5 linked regions of the Xenopus tropicalis genome follow. The protein of the gene in region 1 purifies or fractionates together with the protein of each later gene. This does not show direct contact. Links are inferred from orthologs where the notes say so. Each region holds a gene or a part of one and is shown in the gene's direction. Other genes may lie near its edges.

Region 1 (3,150 bases):
GGGTGAACACCTTGGCCAGTATCCTTATGCGCTTGTTACCATATTATTCTACATATTCATTACATTTAACATTGATGTATAAATTACTAATATGTATCCGGCAGCACTGTACAGTATTTGGTGTTCTGAAAGAATCATATGCTAATGCACAAACCGTACAGATTGCATTCAAACACTACAAACTGATACAGGACGTAAGGAGGGGTTTACTCATTAGAGCTACAGTATAGAACATGTATCATTCTATGTCCTCTCAAGCCCATAGTCTCCTGGGAGCAGCCTTTCCATTCTGCCCTGCAGCCCCCTCTCATTTCTGTATCGTAGGAGGGTGCAGCCCAGGGGCAACTGCTCTAAAATGGAAACATTTCCATTCCATGAACATGTAGTGATTAGTATAGCGTCCATGGAACTTGGGGTATCCGAGTGGTACGGCATGAGTTTTATTCAGCAATGTAACATCACAATGACTGGTTAAAAAATATATTTTACCATTTATTCCTTTTGTGCAATAATATATGTAAAATGTATAAACTGAGTGCAGTGTGCAGTGTTCTCACACAGAATTCCAGTGTCATTCCAGCTGCAATGGGAGTCGTGCCCACCACAGTTGTTCCAGATGTCAGTGCCAATGCGCTTGTTTGCCATTGTGGCATATGTTTTCCAGAGCACAGTGTTAAAATGGTATTAGCATGTGATTCTTTTAGCCCAAGTCTGCTGCACCTTTTGAGGTAACTTGGGGTGAGAATCCTGGAATTACCACCTTGTTCAGGGTGCAAGTGCAATGACACGCTAGTGTGTCAGGTATATGTTACATGCCCGTACATAGTATCCATGTTAGTTGTGCTGTTCCCATGCTTTTGTTCCAGCCCTTAGCCACGTTCCTACAGATCGTTTTCCCGCCGTTAACAGCCTCATCCAGAGAATCAACCTGAGGAAGCGCAGAGATTCTCTCATCCTGGGCGCAGTTATCGGCATTTGCACTATTTTGTTGCTGCTGTACGCTATCCATTGATGACTGACGCGCCACAGACTAACCAACCACAATCCAGGGCAAAGTCCAGCTGCCATCCAGCCCAAGTGAAGCGCGGAAGGCGCAGTTCAGTGCACACAACCTGTAGATAAGGGAGTGGGATATCTTAAACCAATTTACATTTTATATTGGAAATCTTCATAGCACTGGCAGTATCCCTGTGTTCGCCAGCCCTACGCGCACACAACGACATGTAACTGTTTACTGTATCCATGATGTATCCGGACATATAGACATGTACTTTCCGAGGGAGTTAAACATCCATTGTGCTATGCTGCTACCAGGCCATCAGCCATCAGACCGGCTTTGCCAGCAAGGTATGTGTCTGATTGCCTGAACATTCAGTTTTATGCAGAATAATTGTACAGTGCACTAATTTAGTCACAAATGCATTCTTAACTCCTCCACCCCCCCTAATAAATGCAACATTGTTCATACAAAATGTTTTACTATCTTCTAAAGCCACTCACTGGGACACATGGAACTCAGAGAACAGATATTTGAGGAGGTAACTTGGTTACCAAATAGGTGTCTTTTCTCTCACCTCCCATATGCAACTCACGGAAATCCTGCCAGAGAACATCAGTTTTGGTTGCATCTTTGCAGGAACCTTACAAGCAGTTAGTTACCCATTTGGGACCTTCCAGTGTTCCTCAAGCTGCCTGTGTAGTTGTATGCCCAGCCTATGTAGCGATCAGGTGATTCTCAGCTGGGATGCTGTAATAATCATATTTATCAGAAGGACCTTCCAATTAGTAATTGTGGGATAAATTACCCTTCTTGAGTCCTGTAGCTGGTGGAAATACAAGATTAGTACCAGGTGTGTTTGGGTTTAAAGGCCCTCCCTCATCAAGCTTGGATTTCCTGTCTCCTAAACAAGGGGAAGCCATGCTCAGCCCCCTGCTGCTGCCTGTGTGTATCATGGGAGAAATCTAGCTGGTCAGCAGTGCTCACTGGAAATGCTTTATGCAAAAGGTGTTCCATCATCCAAAAACTGGCACAGCGGATGTCTCGTATAGCTGCTTGGATGAGCTTACCTTCTGCATTCCATAACAGCTGCCACTAAGCCATCACCCCTTTATTGTTCCCAAGCACCCCAACTTTACAGTAAACCCGAATGTTTGCTACTGACATGAGTGGAGCTGGTAGCCTGGTTACATGCAAAGCCCATTACTTTAGTCACCCCGTTGAATAGGAAAGTGTTAATCTCAATTAAAGCGTCTAATCCCAAAGCCTCTACCTGTACATACCCCTCCCCCTCCTAATGGCACTTTCTCATTCGCCTTTACAGATAGCTCCATGAAACTAATGATATTTTATTGCTCTTGTAATTATTTTCCCATTTCTGCACCTAATGTGCATTTTTTCTGTCTGTAATAAAGAAGAAAGCTTTGTTATGTAATTTAATAATAAATTAGAGTTCTACATAGCTCTGCCTCGGGGTTTTTATTGCGATTGGGAGTATTGATCGCTTCTGGAAAGTATGAGTAGGTTTCCGATGGATACCTCGCAAAATAAATAAATAAATGCAAACCAGGATTTGTATCGGCATTTGCCCGGGGGAATGAGAAATCCCTGGACTGCCCCCTTTGCACAGAATGTATCGGAGTCGGCCCTGGCGCACCTATCCCTGCACTGTGTGTGTGTGTCCCTCACTGCGATACATTACATGGGAAGTGCAGCCCTTACTGCCGAGCAGCACCCCGGGGTGTGTGTCCCTCACTGAGATACGTTACATGGGAAGTGCAGCCCTTACTGCCGAGCAGCACCCCGGGGTGTGTGTCCCTCACTGAGATACATTACATGGGAAGTGCAGCCCTTACTGCCGAGCAGCACCCCGGGGTGTGTGTCCCTCACTGCGATACGTTACATGGGAAGTGCAGCCCTTACTGCCGAGCAGCACCCCGGGGTGTGTGTCCCTCACTGCGATACATTACATGGGAAGTGCAGCCCTTACTGCCGAGCAGCACCCCGGGGTGTGTGTCCCTCACTGAGATACATTACATGGGAAGTGCAGCCCTTACTGCCGAGCAGCACCCCGGGGTGTGTGTCCCTCACTGCGATACGTTACATGGGAAGTGCAGCCCTTACTGCCGAGCAGCACCCCGGGGTGTGTGTCC
Region 2 (5,021 bases), about 52 Mb from region 1:
GTGTTAGTTAATATAAAGAGTTAATTAATGTGCTAATTAGCGGTTATCTGGGTCAGTGGATTTTGCTGTAAATTTCAATCCTACACTTCTTCCTGCTCTTGCTCTGCACTGCCATTACTTGATGCATAAAATACATAAACTGCGTAAGTTTAAGGGCCCAGTGATCTTGCTGTGGGGCCCAATAAATAGTCAGTATTAGTTCTTTGAAAGTATCGGACGTTTTTGCATAAGTTACATAAATTGTGTAAGTGTAGGGGCCAAATGATATTGCTATGGGGCTCAATAACCAGTCATTCCACTGCTGAAAAGTTCATGTAGGAGATGCTCATATAATTCAGTAAATGAATCCCAATATAAACAGCTGATGTTACACTATAACATAATTAATATAAATACATAAAATAATATGCCAATAAGTCAGCAAGTCAATTGGGAAGGGGGCAGTGGAATTTACCTTGAGTTTTTTAATTCATTGGTGGTCAGTGGAGTTGGCCTCTGCCAAGTTTCTTTGCCTTGTCTTTACCTTGATACACAAGGTAAGTAAGTTTCTAGGCAGTTTTTACGGAAGTTACACAAATTGTGTACGCTTTGACGGAACTTCATACGTAATAAACAATTTTAATAACTTTGGCAACACTGCCAGGCCCACCATCAGAAGATTATTTCACCGAGCACTGCACAACAGTACCCCTCTCCCCCTGACGGTGGCTCTGAAAGAGAGGATGATAATGGGATGGGAAAGAGGAGAGCAGTTAAGGGGTCTTTTTTTAAAAATTCCTGGCGCACCTCTGCTAATTCAAACTACCGTATTTCTACCTCCCACACACACAATACTTTCTTAAAGATGATTCAAAATGCAGTGACGCAAAGATTTTTGCGTGGCACAATACTCATCACTTGCCTCTGTAAGAACAGTAATCCCTAACCAGTGGCTTGTGAGCAACATAGTGCTCGCTAACCCTAGATGTCTCTCCAGGGGGTCTTAAAGCAGGTGCTTGTTTTTTAATTTTTGGCTTGAAGGCAATTTTTAGTTGCATAAAAACCAGGTGTACTGCCAAACAGAGCCTCCTGTATGCTGCCAGTCCTCATAGGGGCTACCAAATAACCAATCACAGTTCTTATCTAGCAACCCCCAGAAACATCCATACATAAAACGCTGCTATCCACTGGCACTGATGGACTTACCAAACTGCCCTCCCTCAGCATTCAGAGTTCCCAAGAAGTCCAACAGATATTACACATCGCCATGTCCAGACTGGGAGTCAAAATAGGCCCTGGCATTTCAAGTACACAAGAGGTCCAAACAGCCCTCTACCAGCCCAATAAATATTAACTGTCTATAACATCTTACAGCAGCTCCTCTGGCATTTGCCAGAACCCATAGATTGCCAGTCCCAGCCTACACATCACTCATATATAATTCCTGTATATATCACCTTGCCCTTTAACAGCAGCCTTGAACATACATATCACACACTATGCTTCAACTGCTTACCTGTTGTACAGGTAAACAACATTTTACTAAAGATCACAATACTTGTCCCCCATGTGCACCCAGCATATTTCTCATCTCCCTCCATTAAATCCAAGTACTAGGGGTGTAGGGAAAAAAAAATAATTAGACCCAGCAATTGCTCCAGGACCTGGGATATTAAGTACCCCATCCTCCAAAGGCGCACTTGCTGATTTTTATAAACCAGCAGAATTCTACATTTGCATTCCTTGTTCTCTTTAAAGGAGTGGCAACAACAGCATCTTTTCCAAGCTGTCACGTGGTATCATGACTGGGAGGCGCTTATCGCTGATAGGAGCCTGACAATTCCTACGTGACATCACGGTCACATGGCTATGACATCACGACTTCCTTAGAGTCGCTTCATCCCACCATCTCTTATACTCAGAAAGGAGGACGGGGCCCTAAGAGGAGCAACATGTCTGGGTACATGAAGCAGCAGAGCCGTGCCCGGGACTTCAACAGCATTATTCAGACCTGCAGCGGCAATGTGCAGAGGATCACAAATAACAGTCAGTATCCCCAGTTTTTCTACAGAGCACCGGTCCTATTCCTGTATATATATCCGTGATCGCAGCGAGCTGCACACACCCGCAGTATATAGATGGGGGTACTGGTGGAGATTTGAAGGACGAATTGTTAGCCATTGGCAATGGGAACTTTTGGACAACAGAGATTAACATGTTATATGGGCCCCTTGTATTATGTGTAATTCCCAGGTGCTACACACCCACTGATGTACAGGAAGGGCGGCTATACTGACACAGCTGGAAATAGAGAAAATTATTTATATAGCATTGCATATATGGAGACTGGACAGTTGGCAAATGACAAAAATCAACTAATGTTTCCTTGTGTTGGTTGGTGGGTGGGTGTACAGTACAGCAGCTATCAGCTGGCATGTTCATTGGCAGAGGGGCACAGAGAAGCAGGGGTGACAGGCAGGAAGGGAGCTAAGTGCAGTGGGAAGTCATTTCCTACTGGAGATTCCTGATTGGGTTACTGTTACCAAGAAGTTACTACTGTTAGGCTTGTCACCTGGTTGGGCTCTTGCTGTGGTTAAACTACACATTACAATATTATCCTAAAGGCAGCATTTGTAGAAATGTAGTTCAGCAACCAGTGAAATCAGGCTGAGCAGTTTTACCCTCGCTTACTGAATTTGTGTTGAGTGGGTTACATTCCTGCCTTACTCCATGGGGGTTTTTTGTTCCCCCCTAACTGCCTGATCACTGCTTTGCAAGCTCAGAGAAAATTTTGGGCGTGGGCACAAGCAGGATTCACCAGGTCAGGCAGGGGCCATGAAATTGTAATATTTCCTTCCTCCCAGCATGACAGCAGGATAGGAGTTCATAATGTGTGATTTATCATGTTGAATGAATGAGACTTGGCAGGAAATATGTATTTTCTTGTATATCATTATGTATTAGATTCACAGTATTGACTTCTGCCAATCATTACATACCCCCAGAAGTAAGTAAATAAATAAATATGGAGTCTTGGTACTACTGGCCTCTGTTCTTCAAGTCTATGTGTAGTTTCATTCTTAAACAAGTGTTCAGCTCTTAATTAAAGGATGCCATGGAATAGTAGTAAATACGTCATAAGAGCAATTTGTCACTCCCTCTATTTGGACTAGACATAAGACATTTACTATCCAAACATACCCATTCCTTAACCATCTTAAAGGGGCATCTTTAACAAAATTACACTTTGCCTGTTGGTCATGTTAGGTTTAGTAAAGTAAAGGAATTTGGGGGGAAAATACCTTACATTTTTACTTGTTAAAAATCCTATGTTTCCGCTTCCATTTGAAAGTGAAATCACATGATTAATGTCCTTAGTCTAAGAAGGCAGCAGTCAGTCCTGTCTTGCTTTATAGCTGAGAATCTAGTTATCTTTATAACAGAACATTCATTGTACTGTGATTCAAGCAGGCTTGGACTGACATGGTATTTTTTTTTAAAAAGGTTTTTTTGAGATGATAGTATCTTAATTATATTCAGTATTTTTAATGAGAAGTGGTAAATGTGCACTCCATGTGAGAGCCTCTAATTAAAAGTGGATATAGCAAGGACGTAATTCATGTAATGAGATTTTTTGTTCATTGTTCACTATGCTGCTGTTTTTCTTTTTGTAATTATAGACTAGCACAGTGCAGTGTTTACAGGAAAATTGCTGCTGTCCTACAAATGACTGTTATTGTATGTTTTGGAATGGCCCAGTTATTCTGCACTGATAACAGCACACTGCTGAGATCTGATAACTGTGTTTTCAGCTTCTCGGTATGCTGTCAAGGTGTGTTGTTGTGTCATACTGATATAAGGTGCACTGTTGTCATGAAGTGCGGTACAGGTTGAAGTTACATAGTCTTTTTCAGATAGGTAATGTTTTATTGGGCATGTTCAGCAAATATAATTTATACAGAGACTTTACAGGTTTTCACAGGAATTTGTTGGTGAAAAAGGTTCCTTCCATAACCTAAAGCTTTAACACTGAAGCCTGGCATCCCCCTACCCCCTTTACTTACCTGTGGCACTTGTCTAGTCAAGGTTGATTTAAACAGTACTTCCAGCCTTGTCGGGTCAGTACCACACCCAAAGCCCAACATCTTCAAAACAGCAGCCATTTCTAAAAAAGAAGTTGAAGTCTGGTACAGGTAAATAAAGAAGGTGCAATATTTTAGTTGTAACTCATTAGAGATGGCCTAGAAAAGGAATATCAATAATAAATATAAATTTCTATTAAAAAAAAAAAAAAACACAGGTACAGGTATGCGACCTATTATCCAGAATGCTAGGGACCTGAGATTTTATGGATAAGGGATCTTTCTGTAATTTGGATCTCCATAGCTTAAGTCTACTAAAAGATTATTTAAAAATTAACCTCAATAAGCTTGTTTTGCTACCAATAAGGATTAATTTTATCTTAGTTGGAATCAAGTTCAAGTAACTGTTCTGTTATTACAGAGAAAAAGGACATTTAAAAAAAATATTAGAATTATAGGCTTATAATGGAGTCAGTGGGAGTCGGAACTTCCTGGATAAGGGGTTTCCTGATAACAGATCCCATACCTGTACAGGTTTGGGATCAGTTATCTGGAAGACTTCAGACCTGGGGTTTTCCGGATAAGAAGTCTTCCCATGATACTGATCTCAGTACCTTTTTTAAATTTGTTAAAAGGAAAAAAATAATCTGCTACCAACATGGATTTTACTAATTTAGTTACCATGCAAGTACAAGGTACTGTTTTCTTATTACAGGCAGTATGGCCACTTATGACCCACCCCCATTCTGGTCGAATCATTGGAATACACAAGTACAGGTGATTTTCACAAAGACCACCCTTGAAAATATGCACAAGGATTTCAGATGAGAATCCCATTATAATCGCCAGTAATAGCTTTTCCATATGTATTATGGGGCTATAATATGAGTCTATTTTTACACTCTTTAAAGTGAAGATAAGTATGCTGGTTACAATTTCTGCCAACTCCTCCTTGCAAAA
Region 3 (5,080 bases), on another chromosome or scaffold:
CTTGTATATATAAAAACATATAAAGAGCACCCACCCGGGTGCTTATCAATTATAAAAAACTGTACCCTCCAAACCACACATCATTTAGGTAAGCTTAGGTGTTGTATTAGTAACAATAATGATGATAGTAGTAATAATAATAGTAACAATAGATCAAAAAAGTCACATGTATTAAATATTGTTACAAGTTGTTTCTAAGTTGTATATATATGATTATATGTCCAATTGTCAGACCACAATACTAAACTAAAAGTATACATATAAACATACTGCTTCCAAAAATATTAATCAATTATATAGCGGTGTGGTCACATGATTATCAGTAGAAACAGGATAATTCCCATCATCTATTGAGGCCCCCATATTGCTCTGTTGTTTTCAACCGATATATCCAAAAGACCTCTCTCTCTGAAAGTTTCTTATCTATATCACCTCCCCTAACACTTATACTAGGTCTATCAATAATCTGAAAGGTCACATGATTACTACTTTCATGTCTCTCTATTATATGTTTTGCTATCGCTGATCTCGTGTCCTTTCTCTCTACGGCTGATAAGTGTTCCAGAATCCTAGTTCCAACCTTACGAATGGTTTTCCCCACATACTGAGCACCACACTCACATGTGGCTAGGTAAATGACCCCTTTGGATTGGCAGTTGAAATATTGGGGAATGGTGAAAGTAGCCAGCAGGAAGTGGAACAGATGGGCAGGACTAGTGGGGTTTTGGTGGAATTTCTCAATAAATCTCAGTCAGAAACACTACTTTTTTTAAGCACAATCCTTCTATATCTAGAGGAGTATAATTCACTGGTACATTCTTAATTTTTATAGGATATGTCTCCTTTAACGTCACAATCATGCATCACTTATACAATCAAGCAGGACTTTGAGTCTTTATGTTTTATAGGCTCCAGTACTCCAGTCCAGTTTTATGTTTTTTTCAAGGCCCCACCCTTAGGTCAATGCAACCTTGCAAATATGATACTGGTGTTATCTTACCCTTGTAACTGGTTCAGGTCCTTCCCAGCTGGTGTATTACAAGTAATAGCATTAATGGCAAAGTCACACAGGGCACTTTGTCACCAATGGTAAATCTGCGCTACAATGGGCGACAAAACGTCCCTAGCTTCCTTCTTGTTGGAAGTACTGGGAACACATATGCATCACTTCTGCTTCCAAAGTTGTCTCAGGGCAAAGGCACATGGGACATTTGTTGTCCACCGTAAATCTGCACAGCCCCTTTACAAAGCAGCTCCAGGTTACTTCACAATGCATGTTTTCTCACTAGCAATTCACATTACTGCTGGTGGCAAGAAAACTAGGTATGTTCTTCCATCTGAGGTAGCACAGATTTACCAAGTCAATTGAATAACCTAAAGCCATATGGTACTCTGCTGAAAGTAGAATTTATTTGCCCATTAATATCCACTTTAGAATGCTAGGATAGATTAACAAGGTCATGACATTAATTACATGGTTGTAAGGCCACTTAGAGTTAGCTAAAAAGAAACGCCATTCCACAATAACGCCTACGTATTACTATAGGCAACCTTTCCACTACTAATACGCACACTTCCGGGTTAGAAACACACCTCCGGACTGACGCACTCAGAGTGCGACTCGCGAAGTACAGGAGCCGGTGACGTGTGTGTACGTGGCGCTGACGTCAGCATTTTCCCCGGCAGAAACAGAAAGAGAGAGGGAGTAAGAGAGAAGCGGTGACCGGTGAGATTTACTGTAAGGGGGAGGTGTGTTTGTTTCTGTTCCTATAATGTGAGGGCGCGGGGTCCAGTAAGGGGCTCCTTGGGCTCATAGTTTGTTGCCCACATTCTGTGGGAGGGTTTGATTTTGGGGGCTTGCCTTCCGTGACGTCATGCCTGTGGGGGGGTCTAATGACACTAAAGGTGATAATCACTACACTGGGTGAGAATTGATGTTAAGATAATCTTGAGTACGCCGCATACCTACTAACCTGGCTGTCTGACTGGCCATGGCTGTGACTACCTGGCTGTCTGACTGGCCATGGCTGTGACTAGCTGGCTGTCTGACTGGCCATGGCTGTGACTAGCTGGCTGTCTGACTGGCCATGGCTGTGACTACCTGGCTGTCTGACTGGCCATGGCTGTGACTAGCTGGCTGTCTGACTGGCCATGGCTGTGACTAGCTGGCTGTCTGACTGGCCATGGCTGTGACTACCTGGCTGCCCGTCTGGCCATGGCTGTGACTACCTGGCTGTCTGACTGGCCATGGCTGTGACTACCTGGCTGTCTGACTGGCCATGGCTGTGACTACCTGGCTGTCTGCCTGGCCATGGCTGTAGCTGCCCGTCTGGCCATGGCTGTGACTACCTGGCTGTCTGACTGGCCATGGCTGTGACTACCTGGCTGTCTGACTGGCCATGGCTGTGACTACCTGGCTGTCTGATTGGCCATGGCTGTGACTACCTGGCTGTCTGACTGGCCATGGCTGTGACTACCTGGCTGTCTGACTGGCCATGGCTGTAGCTGCCCGTCTGGCCATGGCTGTGACTACCTGGCTGTCTGACTGGCCATGGCTGTGACTACCTGGCTGTCTGACTGGCCATGGCTGTGACTACCTGGCTGTCTGACTGGCCATGGCTGTGACTACCTGGCTGTCTGACTGGCCATGGCTGTAGCTGCCCGTCTGGCCATGGCTGTGACTACCTGGCTGTCTGACTGGCCATGGCTGTGACTACCTGGCTGTCTGATTGGCCATGGCTGTGACTACCTGGCTGTCTGATTGGCCATGGCTGTGACTACCTGGCTGTCTGATTGGCCATGGCTGTGACTACCTGGCTGTCTGACTGACCATGGCTGTGACTACCTGGCTGTCTGATTGGCCATGGCTGTGACTACCTGGCTGTCTGATTGGCCATGGCTGTGGCTACCTGGCTGTCTGACTGACCATGGCTGTAACAACTTGGCTGTCTGTCTGACTGGCCATGGTTGTAACTACTTGGCTGTCTGACTTCCCATGGCTGTAACTAACTGCATGTCTTGCTGGCCATGGTTGTAACTATTGGCTTGCTGGCCATGGTTGTAACTATTGGCTTGCTGGCCATGATTGTAACTTCATGCCTGTCTGACTGGCCATGGCTGTAACTACCTGGCTGTCTGACTGGCCATAGCTGTAACTACCTGGCTGTCTGATTGGCCATGGCTGTAACTACCTGGCTGTCTGATTGGCCATGGTTGTAACTTCATGCCTGTCTGACTGGCCATGGCTGTAACTACCTGGCTGTGTGACTGGCCATAGCTGTGACTACCTGGCTGTGACTACCTGGCTGTGTGACTGGCCATAGCTGTGACTACCTGGCTGTCTGACTGGCCATGGCTGTGACTACCTGGCTGTCTGACTGGCCATGGCTGTGACTACCTGGCTGTCTGACTGGCCATGGCTGTGACTACTTGGCTGTCTGACTGGCCATGGCTGTGACTACCTGGCTGTCTGACTGGCCATGGCTGTGACTACCTGGCTGTCTGACTGGCCATGGCTGTGACTACCTGGCTGTCTGACTGGCCATGGCTGTGACTACCTGGCTGTCTGACTGGCCATGGCTGTGACTACCTGGCTGCCCGTCTGGCCATGGCTGTAACTACCTGGCTGTCTGACTGGCCATGGCTGTAGCTACCTGGCTGTCTGACTGGCCATGGCTGTAGCTACCTGGCTGTCTGACTGGCCATGGCTGTAGCTACCTGGCTGTCTGACTGGCCATGGCTGTAGCTACCTGGCTGTCTGACTGGCCATGGCTGTAGCTACGTGGCTGTCTGACTGACCAAGGCTGTAACTACCTGGCTGTCTGACTCGCCAAGTCTGTAACTACTTGGCTGTCTGACTGGCCAAGGCTGTAACTACCTGGCTGTCTGACCATGGCTGTAACTACTTGGCTGTCTGACTTCCCATGGCTGTAACTAACTGCATGTCTTGCTGGCCATTGCTGTAACTATTGGCTTGCTGGCCATGGTTGTAACTTCATGCCTGTCTGACTGGCCATGGCTGTAACTACCTGGCTGTCTGACTGGCCATAGCTGTAACTACCTGGCTGTAACTGACTGGCCATGGCTGTAACTACCTGGCTGTCTGATTGGCCATGGCTGTAACTACCTGGCTGTAAGTGACTGGCCATGGCTGTAACTAACTGCCTGACTGGCCATGGCTGTAACTAACTGCCTGACTGGCCATGGTTGTGACTTCATGCCTGTCTGGCCGTGGTTGCAACTACCTGGCTGCCTGACGGGCCATGGTTGCAACTACCTGGCTGCCTGACGGGCCATGGTTGCAACTACCTGGCTGCCTGACGGGCCATGGTTGCAACTACCTGGCTGTCTTGTTGCCTATGGCTGTAACTACCTGTCTGTCTCTCTGGCTGGCCATGGCTCTAATAATAAATGGTCACTCCACAGAAACCAACTTATTGGGCAATTATTACATTACCTGCCTTGGCAAGTGGGGCCCAGATTTTTCTGCATTAAAAAGTAAGAAAGCATTGCTGTTGGCCCCATTGGGGTACTATTTGGTGGGCCTCCTTCAGAACGCTTCTCCCCAAAGGAGGTGCTAAGTACTTTATGTTTTGTACATGATAAATGTCCAGCCTGCTTGGTCATACATGGGCAGATAACATAACACATACAAAGCATAACATCATGTCTGAGATCAAGACTGGAGTTTTACATAAAAATGTATTCTGATGCATGTAATGCAGTCAATGCTGTATGCCAATATTCTTAAGAGCATCCCTTGGTTTCTTTTTATTGGACTACTGAAAATCAAAGTAATTAAAATGTAATGTATTGTTGTGCATTTGCTTCAGAAACTCTACTATAGTTTATATAAACAAAGCTGTTGTGTAGCTATGGGGGCAGCCATTTAAACTGAAATAGGGCTAAATGGTACAGTTTACATATCCGGTAATAGATAAGCACTGTAAAACATCATTGTATTCTACAGAGCTTATCTGTTATCTGCAATGTAACCTGTGCCTTTTCTCCTTTTTTCTTGCTGGAATAGCTACCTCCATGGCTATACAGAAACTTTATTTATATGAACTATAGTAACCTC
Region 4 (4,087 bases), on another chromosome or scaffold:
AGGCAACAAATGTATTGCTGAGGGAAAACCGGGTGCACAGGGTGAGCCATCACCAACATGGACTATAATGTGAGGCCCTTATGAGTTTTCAGTGGCCACAAGTGACCTCTGACATATACCATATTGTCCATTACTGGGTTAAATACAAAAGGTTTGGTTGAATTTAAATATTGCAAAAAAGAGCTGAATTTCAGACAGCTGTCATTTACATCCTTTATAACATAGAATAAAAGGACAAACTACTAATGATATTTAGTAGTGTATTAACATATTTCATCATCACTTAAAATTGTTTTGCTCCAATTTACACTCATATGTTTATGCATATGCTGAGCAGCTACACTTACTGTACTTGATCCACCTTCCACATGTATTAGGTCACTGTCCTTATGTGTTTTCTCATTTTTCCACCAACAGAAACTACTCGATGCTCATGAAGAGCAAAATGTAGACAGTTACACAGATGCGGTAAGACAATATGTTTCAAATGAATAACATGCATGCGTGAATTTATGCCATAAATTGCAGTCTGATGAACTTAGCATTCTGCTATGATAGCTAAGTATTTCCTTTACAAAACACCACTGCTCAATGGGCACTAAGTTTGCTGCTCATTTCTAATGAATGTAAAATACTTTCTTTAATAAATTGCCTGAGGACTTGATGAGATTTATGATGCCTGTTGGTCTTTGAGATACTCACGTAGGCTAAAAAAACCATATTGTAATTATTATTATTAGCAGCCATTTGGGTAAACACTTACTTGCTGCACTGGATATTCTCATAATGATGACTAAATGGCTCATAAAACTATAATTTCACATATCTGTGACCCTGTTTTGGGTAAACAAAAGCCACAAACAAACCTCTACCTCAAAGAATGCAGCAGATTTCTGCTGATAGCAGCTATGTTTGAGTTAAAACAACAAAGCAACAATTTGTTAATTGCAAGTAATGGTTACAGGATATAGCCTAAATACTTTTTATTTTTTATATTACCTCTCATATTCATCCCACTACTGCCATGTCTTTTGATTTGTGTACCAAACAATTATAAAGTCACTTCTCACCCTACATACACTGAATGTTCTAAAATATTATAAACACTCTATTCCTTTAATGCATCACAACATGATTACAGCCAGATCTGATATATCTCTCTCTTCTAGGTGAAAGAGTATGACTCAATCTCCCGCTTGGACCAGTGGCTGACAACCATGCTGTTACGCATAAAAAAAACCATCCAGGGAGAAGAGGAGGACTTGCGTTAATTCTTAAGGGTGAAACCCTTTCCTCTAGATGGAGCCAGCTGGAGGAATTTGGGGAGGCGGGGGCACTGCTTATATCCTATTTACTATTATTACTCAATTTTCCATCAGTGCAAGTTTCCACACCCTACCTATGTGCTGTGCATTGTGGCCTGCTGTTGCTCTCTGGTTTCAAGCACAGTTGTGGAGTAATGAATGGAAGGAGTTTTTAAACTATGATCAGCCAAAATGACATGTATCTGAATAAACGTACATCTTTAAGCAATTTACCAAATATCCACAACTACATTGCATGTGTTAGCATGTATTTTGCGCCATAGACTTTTCGGCTGTGAGCTCTTCTCCGCCATCTTCTTCCACTCAAGCACTTCATCCCAGCTGGAACTTTCAGAGGGTTTGTTAAAAGGCTTAGTTAAAAACATTGCATGGATTTTAGGAGGTGTGGTGCAATTTAATCTCTTTTACTAATATGTTTTTTTTTCCTTTTTAATAGATTTGTTAATGAGGGAGTAAAATATAAAAATGGAAGAGCATTTTCAAATTTTCTCATGTTCTTAGTGTAGTGGCACAAGGAGCGATTTAGCTCTGGTGATCTACCATTCTGAGGGGGTAGGGACGAAATGCTGCAAATTTTTTGACATTTCCTATTCCATGTAAATAGGAAACATGGCAACAGCGCCTTGTCCTGCTTAGTGACAGGTGCGCATGTTTTCCATCCACACCAAATGAGAGGTAGATTTGTCCCCCCTCCTTCAGGCCAATAAGTTGGTGTGGAGACAAAATGCTGCAAATTTTGCCATGTGCCATTAGCGTTATTGTGCAGAGTGGTCTTAAATGTGTGTATTCTTTATTTTTACTGTTTACTACCTGGTCACTCTAAAACCTGCTGCTAGAAGTAGTAAGATCTTTTCCCAGACCTAGCAAAATTGGACATTATGTCTACACAGTGTTTCTCCTATTAAAATGTGATAGATACATTTGATAAATTAAATAGATACTACCAGAAACAGACACTTTTCAGTCATACTAGAGAGAACCTGTTTTTTGCATTAGTGGTGGATTCAAACTGGTGCAACCAAATGCCAACAGAAGAAAACATTTTTATAAATGCTCTGAAATACTAATGTTTTACTACCCCATTAACTGCACATTGACCAAATGGATGGGGTTCTGCCTCCTCCTCCCTTCTTATATAGTTTGCATTAAATTGAGTATGAAATAGAATAGCTGTATTATATATGTTTCCACTCATGGAAACCAAAACCAGAATGACTGCATCCTGGCAATGCGGTATGTTTAACTATAAATACAGTTGCTATTTATTTATCCTTAGATCTTAGAAATGATATGTACCCAATTTAAAGTTTATAGCGGTACAAGCAATTCTTTATTGAATAACTGGCAATTTGCCATCATTGTAGCATCTAACTAATGTTTCCTCTAAGTAAATTTTAATAGCAGTAGACCTGTGAAGTGCAGCAATGTCCACATATCAGGTGACAGATCTAGAGGGCAATTTAAATTCAAATGATAGGTTACTGTAAATCTGCTACTTAGTGGCACGTTCTACCCTTACATATTGTTCTAAATGTTCTGTCTATATTTTTGTTTTGCCTCTTAAACAGGCTGTATTTTACATTAATTAAGTTGTATCCAAGCCTCTGTTATCTTGTGAACCATCCTATCACACAGCGAAACTGATAAATAAAGTAAATGAGATATTAACCAATTTTGTTTTACAGAAGTTGATACATTAGCCAATACCAGGGGTGAATCAGCCACATCTGATTTACACAGACACCTGTATATGTTTGCATGCACTGTGACCATATTGTATGATTAAAACACATTTAATCAAGTACAGGAATTTGGGCAGCAATACAGATATCAAAAAGGGATTTGGGATTTAAACCAGTCCCTGGTTTAAATCATACTAGCAAGTTTTTCCGATCAGACAAGTCCTGCAAAGAGGCACTACATAAACATATATGCTATATGTAGTGAGATTATTCTTTACCATTTTACCATTAAAGTGTTGAGCTAATTTTACTTATAAAAGTAGGGCGTACCTGCATGTGGTTTAAAATATGGGTTTATGCAGAGAATTGCAAGAAGTTCCTCATGCAGGGTCACATGTTTTCAAGTGATATGTACTTGTCACTAATCAGGACAAGTAGACATGATGCAAGTGTTGTGTGCAGCAGTTCAACTTAAAGGAATACTGTCATGGGAAAATATGTTTATTTCAAAACACTTTAGTTAATAGAGCTTCTCCAGCAGACTCCTGCATGTTTATTTTTTAAATTTCACATGGGGCTAGCCATATTCTTAATTTCTCATGGTGCCGCAACCATGTGACTTGTGCTCTGATAAACTTCAGTCACACTTTACTGCTGAGCTGCAAGTTGGAGTGATATCACCCCCCTCCCTTTCCCTACCAGCAGCGATCAGCAGAACAATGGGATAGTAGCAAGGTAGCAGCTCCCAGTAGATTTCAGAATAGCACTTAAGGTGGCCATACACGCACCGATATTATCGTACGAAACCTCGTTTCGTACGATAATCGGTGCGTGTATGGCATGTCAGCGAGCCGACCGATATCGCAGGAAGCTGCTGAAATCGGTCGGCTCGCCGATCGGCCAAGTTAGAAAATTTTGATCGGGCGCCATAGAAGGCGCCTGACCAAAATTCTCCCTTCAGAGCTGAATCGGCAGAAGGAGGTAGAAATCCTATTGTTTCTACCTCCTTACCTGCCGATTCAGCCCTGAATGGTGTGTGGCGGATCTGACGATGTTTCGTGCGACCGACGGTCGTACGAA
Region 5 (5,065 bases), on another chromosome or scaffold:
TTCCTATTTATAAACATCCAGTACTGTGCTGAACTCATATTATAAATTACTTTTAAACCTGAAAGAACTGTATAATTTGCATCAGAGATACTTTTTAAATACTAAATCTAAACACCATCTTTACCAATCACTCCTAGCTTTATTAGTTTTAAAGTGCAGAACTACAATATCCAGAATCCTCTGAAAGTCTCTTCCTGTTGTATCATGTAGTCAATATTCCTTCTAATAAATGCACACAAATTGTGGCTCAAACAAAGTATTTTGGTACATTTTCAGAATCCCCCACCTCATACAGTGATCCCCAACCAGTGGCTCGGGGGCAACATGTTGCTCCCCAACCCCTTGGATGTTGCTCTCAGTGCCCCCAAACCAGGTAGTTATTTTTGAATTCCTGACTTGGTGGCAAGTTTTGATTGAATTAAAACAATATTTAGTACCAAATAAAGCCCCCTGTAAGCTGATAGTGTGCATAGAGGCTACCTAATAGCCAATCTTAGCCCTTATGCGGTCCCCGATCCGACTAAATTTTTTAAACTGCCCGATCGATATCTGCCCGATTTCAGGCCAGGTATCGGTCAGGCAGGCCCGTCGTTATTGCCCCAACATGGGCCGATGAGCTGCTGAAACGGTCTAAGGGACCGATATCGGCAGCTAGTATCGGCCCGTGTATGGCCATCTTCAGGCGGTACATGGTATGAGATTAGACTGCATGTTGGTATCTAAGGTAAAAGACAGACAGGACAATTAAAAACACAATCACCGAAACTAATCGACATAATGGATATTTCCATACATGAACATACAGGTCGCCGCCTGTGGAATTTGCTGTATGGGACAAGTCAGCATTGTTATAGCCACAGTAGTCACATTAGTCACGGTGACTAATCGCCCTGATTTCCAACACCAGCACTAAGACATACTTTAAAGAACAGTAACACCAAAAAAATGTATGTATCACAGTAGTCACTATATTTTGTACCATTGCCCTGCACTGGTAAGTTGTGTTTGCATTAGAATCTCAACTATATTTTATATAAACAAAGCTGTATCAAACTGAAATAAGGCTAAGGGCTCTGGCACACGGGGAGATTAGTCACCTCGCGAGTCTTTTTCGGCGATTTCGTGAAATCGCGCCGCCGCGTGTGCCATCCCGCCGGCGACTTACATGTTCACATGTTCGCTCATGGCAACTCGGGGAGATTAGTCGCCCGCGAACAGGGAGTTTTGTCGCGGGCGACTGATCTCCCCGTGTGCAAGAGCCCTAATTGACACAGGTTACACAGCTGATAATAGATAAGCAGTGTAGTTTCCCATTGTATTCTAGAGAGCTTATCAGTTTTTTGTCTTTTGTCCTCTTTTTTTTTTGCCACCTTTTCTGAAAATAAATACCGGCCTTCCTATATTTTTATCTTTTTTTTCTAATAATAACATTGGCACTAAGCATCATTTTTACCAGACAGGTGGCAACCATAACCCCAGGGCTACACAGCAGCTTTGTATATATAAACTAGAGTAGGGTTTATGAAGTAAAAGAACTTTTACTAGTGCAGGGAAACAGTACATTATATTTTAATTACTTGAAATAATTTTCATTTTTTGGTGTCGCCATTCCTTAAAGCACTGGAAGCCTTTTTTGTCACAAACTACATTGAGAGAGGCTCCAAATTGGAGAATATGTGGGGGGAGTATTGAGCTGTAATGTGTAATCTGCTTCCACTGTTTTTGTTGGACCACAAATCCCAAGATCCCCCAAGAGATTCGCCATGTGGGGCGGAGCTAGCCACAACACACAAAGTAGGAGAAGCAAAAGGAGTGCACGTTTCACTTTATTTTTTTTATATTAGGATAATTCGGATAAACTGCTTCCATGGCAACAGCGAACGCCTAAACATTAATAGGCGTGGCTTAATGAGACAGTCCGTCCTTTCTTGACGCACTGACGCAAGGTTGAAGCGTATTGGTGGCTGTGAGGGTGACGTTAGTGACGTGTAATATCCTGCCGCGTCACATTTAGAAGAATCCAAGATGGCGGACTGGGGCAGAGGTACTGGGGTCTAGGGTGCTTGTGTGAGATAAATACGTGTGTTATGTAGGATATCAGTGCTCCCTGAATGCCGAGAGAGTGGGGGCAGCGGCCTGGCAAACAGAGAAGGTGTTTGCGTGGGATTCGCTCTGGGATATTAAGCGTAAAGCAAAGGAACTGAGAGGGAATCTATGCTGGAATTAATGTTTGGGGGCGGTACTCTGTCCTGGGTGGGGCTCTATGCTAGGGGTGGTCTCCATGGGGGCTGTATGGGGAAGTACTCTGAAGGCCTTTGGTGGGTGATTTCTCTGTTAGGGAAGGTCAGTATGGGAATGTGCTGTATACTCTGTACTACACAGTGTTCAGGGTGCGGGGGTTCTACTCTGTGTAGACTGAGACTGTTCTAGGAGTCATTAGAGAGTCGTGGGGGTCTCTAGTATAGTGTTGCAGTCTGTACCAGTCTGTATAGTGTTGCAGTCTGTACCAGTCTGTATAGTGTTGCAGTCTGTACCAGTCTGTATAGTGTTGCAGTCTGTACCAGTCTGTATAGTGTTGCAGTCTGTACCAGTCTGTATAGTGTTGCAGTCGTACCAGTCTGTATAGTGTTGCAGTCTGTACCAGTCTGTATAGTGTTGCAGTCTGTACCAGTCTGTATAGTGTTGCAGTCTGTACCAGTCTGTATAGTGTTGCAGTCTGTACCAGTCTGTATAGTGTTGCAGTCTGTACCAGTCTGTATAGTGTTGCAGTCTTACCAGTACCAGTCTGTATAGTGTTGCAGTCTGTACCAGTCTGTATAGTGTTGCAGTCTGTACCAGTCTGTATAGTGTTGCAGTCTGTACCAGTTCTGTATAGTGTTGCAGTCTGTACCAGTCTGTATAGGTGTTGCCAGTTGCTGTACCAGTCTGTATAGTGTTGCAGTCTGTACCAGTCTGTATAGTGTTGCAGTCTGTACCAGTCTGTATAGTGTTGCAGTCTGTACCAGTCTGTATAGTGTTGCAGTCTGTACCAGTCTGTATAGTGTTGCAGTCTGTATAGTGTTGCAGTCTGTACCAGTCTGTATAGTGTTGCAGTCTGTACCAGTCTGTATAGTGTTGCAGTCTGTACCAGTCTGTATAGTGTTGCAGTCTGTACCAGTCTGTATAGTGTTGCAGTCTGTACCAGCAGTCCCCAGTGTGAGGGGAGTTGGAGATCTCTCTGCTCGTTACTGGGCTGGGGAAGTGTATTAGTGTTGTGCGTGGGTACGGCACCATAAGCAATGATTTCCTGTACTTATAATAATAATATTATAATAAGCACACATTTGGGTGCCTCTCTCTTCTCTTGTTGATATCTGAGGGGCTGTTGTAATAATTTCAGACATAATAGGGGTGGGGGAGGGTTTCATAGGGCTCCAGGTTACTTTCTTAGTGCGTTATAGTCGGCTCCTTGAAGGGGAATTGCTATAAACTTAGCAGTCTCTGAGCACTTTTGCAGTGTGCATTGATTTTCTAGTTTTAATGGTTTGTGAGTCAGTAGCAGATACGTGCTGCCAGGAAGACCTCGGCTCATCAGCTCTCTTTGAATGCCCGAAAAGACTGTGGCCCTGACTGTCTATGCATTTGTAGTTTCTTTTAACCCTGGGGTTTCTGAAATGAATGTATATTGCAAAAAGGCCCAGAGAAACTCTGCCCATATGTGACTATGGCCATATCGCACTAGGATCTGCCTTGCCATGGCCAGATATATATTGATATATATTGAAATTGGCTTTATTGATTATGTTAAATGCACGTCACACATGAGGACTTTAGTCTGGGGATGTGTTTGTGCATTAGGTGAGACAGCAGTCGGGCATCCTGGAAATCCCTTCTTACATCCTGACAGTCTCATTCTAGTTTCCACTCTCGTGATTCAGGGCCGGCACCACTGTCCCTTCCCCGCGTTGTTGGGCCGGCACCACTGTCCCTTCCCCGCGTTGTTGGGCCGGCACCACTGTCCCTTCCCCGCGTTGTTGGGCCGGCACCACTGTCCCTTCCCCGCGTTGTTGGGCCGGCACCACTGTCCCTTCCCCGCGTTGTTGGGCCGGCACCACTGTCCCTTCCCCGCGTTGTTGGGCCGGCACCACTGTCCCTTCCCCGCGTTGTTGGGCCGGCACCACTGTCCCTTCCCCGCGTTGTTGGGCCGGCACCACTGTCCCTTCCCCGCGTTGTTGGGCCGGCACCACTGTCCCTTCCCCTTCCAAAAAAGAAAAACCTGCCATTCAGTTGCTCTTTGTTTTTTTTACAGGGCCAAATTCAGGAGCAGTGGATGAGATGTTGGATGCAGAGAACAAACGGCTGTCAGAAAATCTTTCTTCGAAGGTGACCAGGCTGAAATCAGTAAGTAGGAGTGGTAGATATTCTACAGGAATAAATAACTGATGTGTAGGCCTCTATTCACAGCGCCTTTCTCTTTTGCCTCTCTAACAATTCCTACTATATGCATAAAGTACAGGGCACTTCTGCCTCTCTAACAATTCCTACTGTATGCATAAAGTACAGGGCACTTCTGCCTCTCTAACAATTCCTACTGTATGCATAAAGTACAGGGCACTTCTGCCTCTCTAACAATTCCTACTATATGCATAAAGTACAGGGCACTTCTGCCTCTCTAACAATTCCTACTGTATGCATAAAGTACAGGGCACTTCTGCCTCTCTAACAATTCCTACTGTATGCATAAAGTACAGGGCACTTCTGCCTCTTTTGCCTGGGCTCTGTTCCTGCATAATCACTCGGATATCACAATCTGTTCCTTTTTTTTTTTTTTTTACAGCTTGCACTGGACATTGACAAAGAGGCTGATGACCATAACAAGTACCTGGATGGCATGGTAAGACTCTATAGATACTTCGAATCCCTGTACAAAACAGTCTGTTCATTATCTGTTGTGTGTGTATATATATATATATATATTTATAATAATTATAGTAAAGGTTTAGGATCTGTTATCCAGAATGTTAGTGACATTTTGTTTTCCATAATTTAGAACACCTTAAGGCTACTACAGAAAATAAACATAATA

The links.
Region 2: the proteins of gosr1 (region 1) and stx12 purify together in Homo sapiens (affinity purification with mass spectrometry; 3 studies listed by BioGRID and IntAct, counting the BioPlex papers as one, with this or other methods). This does not show direct contact. The link is inferred for Xenopus tropicalis from reciprocal best matches to the Homo sapiens genes GOSR1 and STX12.
Region 3: the proteins of gosr1 (region 1) and stx5 purify together in Homo sapiens (affinity purification with western blotting; 3 studies listed by BioGRID, with this or other methods). This does not show direct contact. The link is inferred for Xenopus tropicalis from reciprocal best matches to the Homo sapiens genes GOSR1 and STX5.
Region 4: the proteins of gosr1 (region 1) and napa purify together in Homo sapiens (affinity purification with mass spectrometry; 3 studies listed by BioGRID and IntAct, with this or other methods). This does not show direct contact. The link is inferred for Xenopus tropicalis from reciprocal best matches to the Homo sapiens genes GOSR1 and NAPA.
Region 5: the proteins of gosr1 (region 1) and bet1l purify together in Homo sapiens (affinity purification with western blotting; 3 studies listed by BioGRID and IntAct, with this or other methods). This does not show direct contact. The link is inferred for Xenopus tropicalis from reciprocal best matches to the Homo sapiens genes GOSR1 and BET1L.

Annotation. Positions count from the first base shown.
Region 1 is NC_030678.2:32,037,883-32,041,032, reverse strand, and holds the end of gosr1 (Golgi SNAP receptor complex member 1), read left to right. Parts: coding exon 1-18; intron 19-887; coding exon 888-1,012; 3' UTR 1,013-2,459; downstream 2,460-3,150. UniProt on the Homo sapiens protein: Involved in transport from the ER to the Golgi apparatus as well as in intra-Golgi transport. It belongs to a super-family of proteins called t-SNAREs or soluble NSF (N-ethylmaleimide-sensitive factor) attachment protein receptor.
Region 2 is NC_030678.2:83,638,743-83,643,763, reverse strand, and holds the start of stx12 (syntaxin-12), read left to right. Parts: upstream 1-1,910; 5' UTR 1,911-1,931; coding exon 1,932-2,025; intron 2,026-5,021. UniProt on the Homo sapiens protein: SNARE promoting fusion of transport vesicles with target membranes. Together with SNARE STX6, promotes movement of vesicles from endosomes to the cell membrane, and may therefore function in the endocytic recycling pathway.
Region 3 is NC_030680.2:36,552,679-36,557,758, reverse strand, and holds the start of stx5 (syntaxin-5), read left to right. Parts: upstream 1-1,657; 5' UTR 1,658-1,726; exon of another isoform or gene 1,727-1,749; intron 1,750-5,080. UniProt on the Homo sapiens protein: Mediates endoplasmic reticulum to Golgi transport.
Region 4 is NC_030684.2:79,904,405-79,908,491, forward strand, and holds the end of napa (alpha-soluble NSF attachment protein), read left to right. Parts: intron 1-417; coding exon 418-468; intron 469-1,169; coding exon 1,170-1,271; 3' UTR 1,272-2,997; downstream 2,998-4,087. UniProt on the Homo sapiens protein: Required for vesicular transport between the endoplasmic reticulum and the Golgi apparatus. Together with GNA12 promotes CDH5 localization to plasma membrane.
Region 5 is NC_030680.2:24,001,317-24,006,381, forward strand, and holds the start of bet1l (BET1-like protein), read left to right. Parts: upstream 1-1,932; 5' UTR 1,933-2,025; coding exon 2,026-2,044; intron 2,045-2,281; exon of another isoform or gene 2,282-2,343; intron 2,344-4,288; coding exon 4,289-4,380; intron 4,381-4,816; coding exon 4,817-4,873; intron 4,874-5,065. UniProt on the Homo sapiens protein: Vesicle SNARE required for targeting and fusion of retrograde transport vesicles with the Golgi complex. Required for the integrity of the Golgi complex.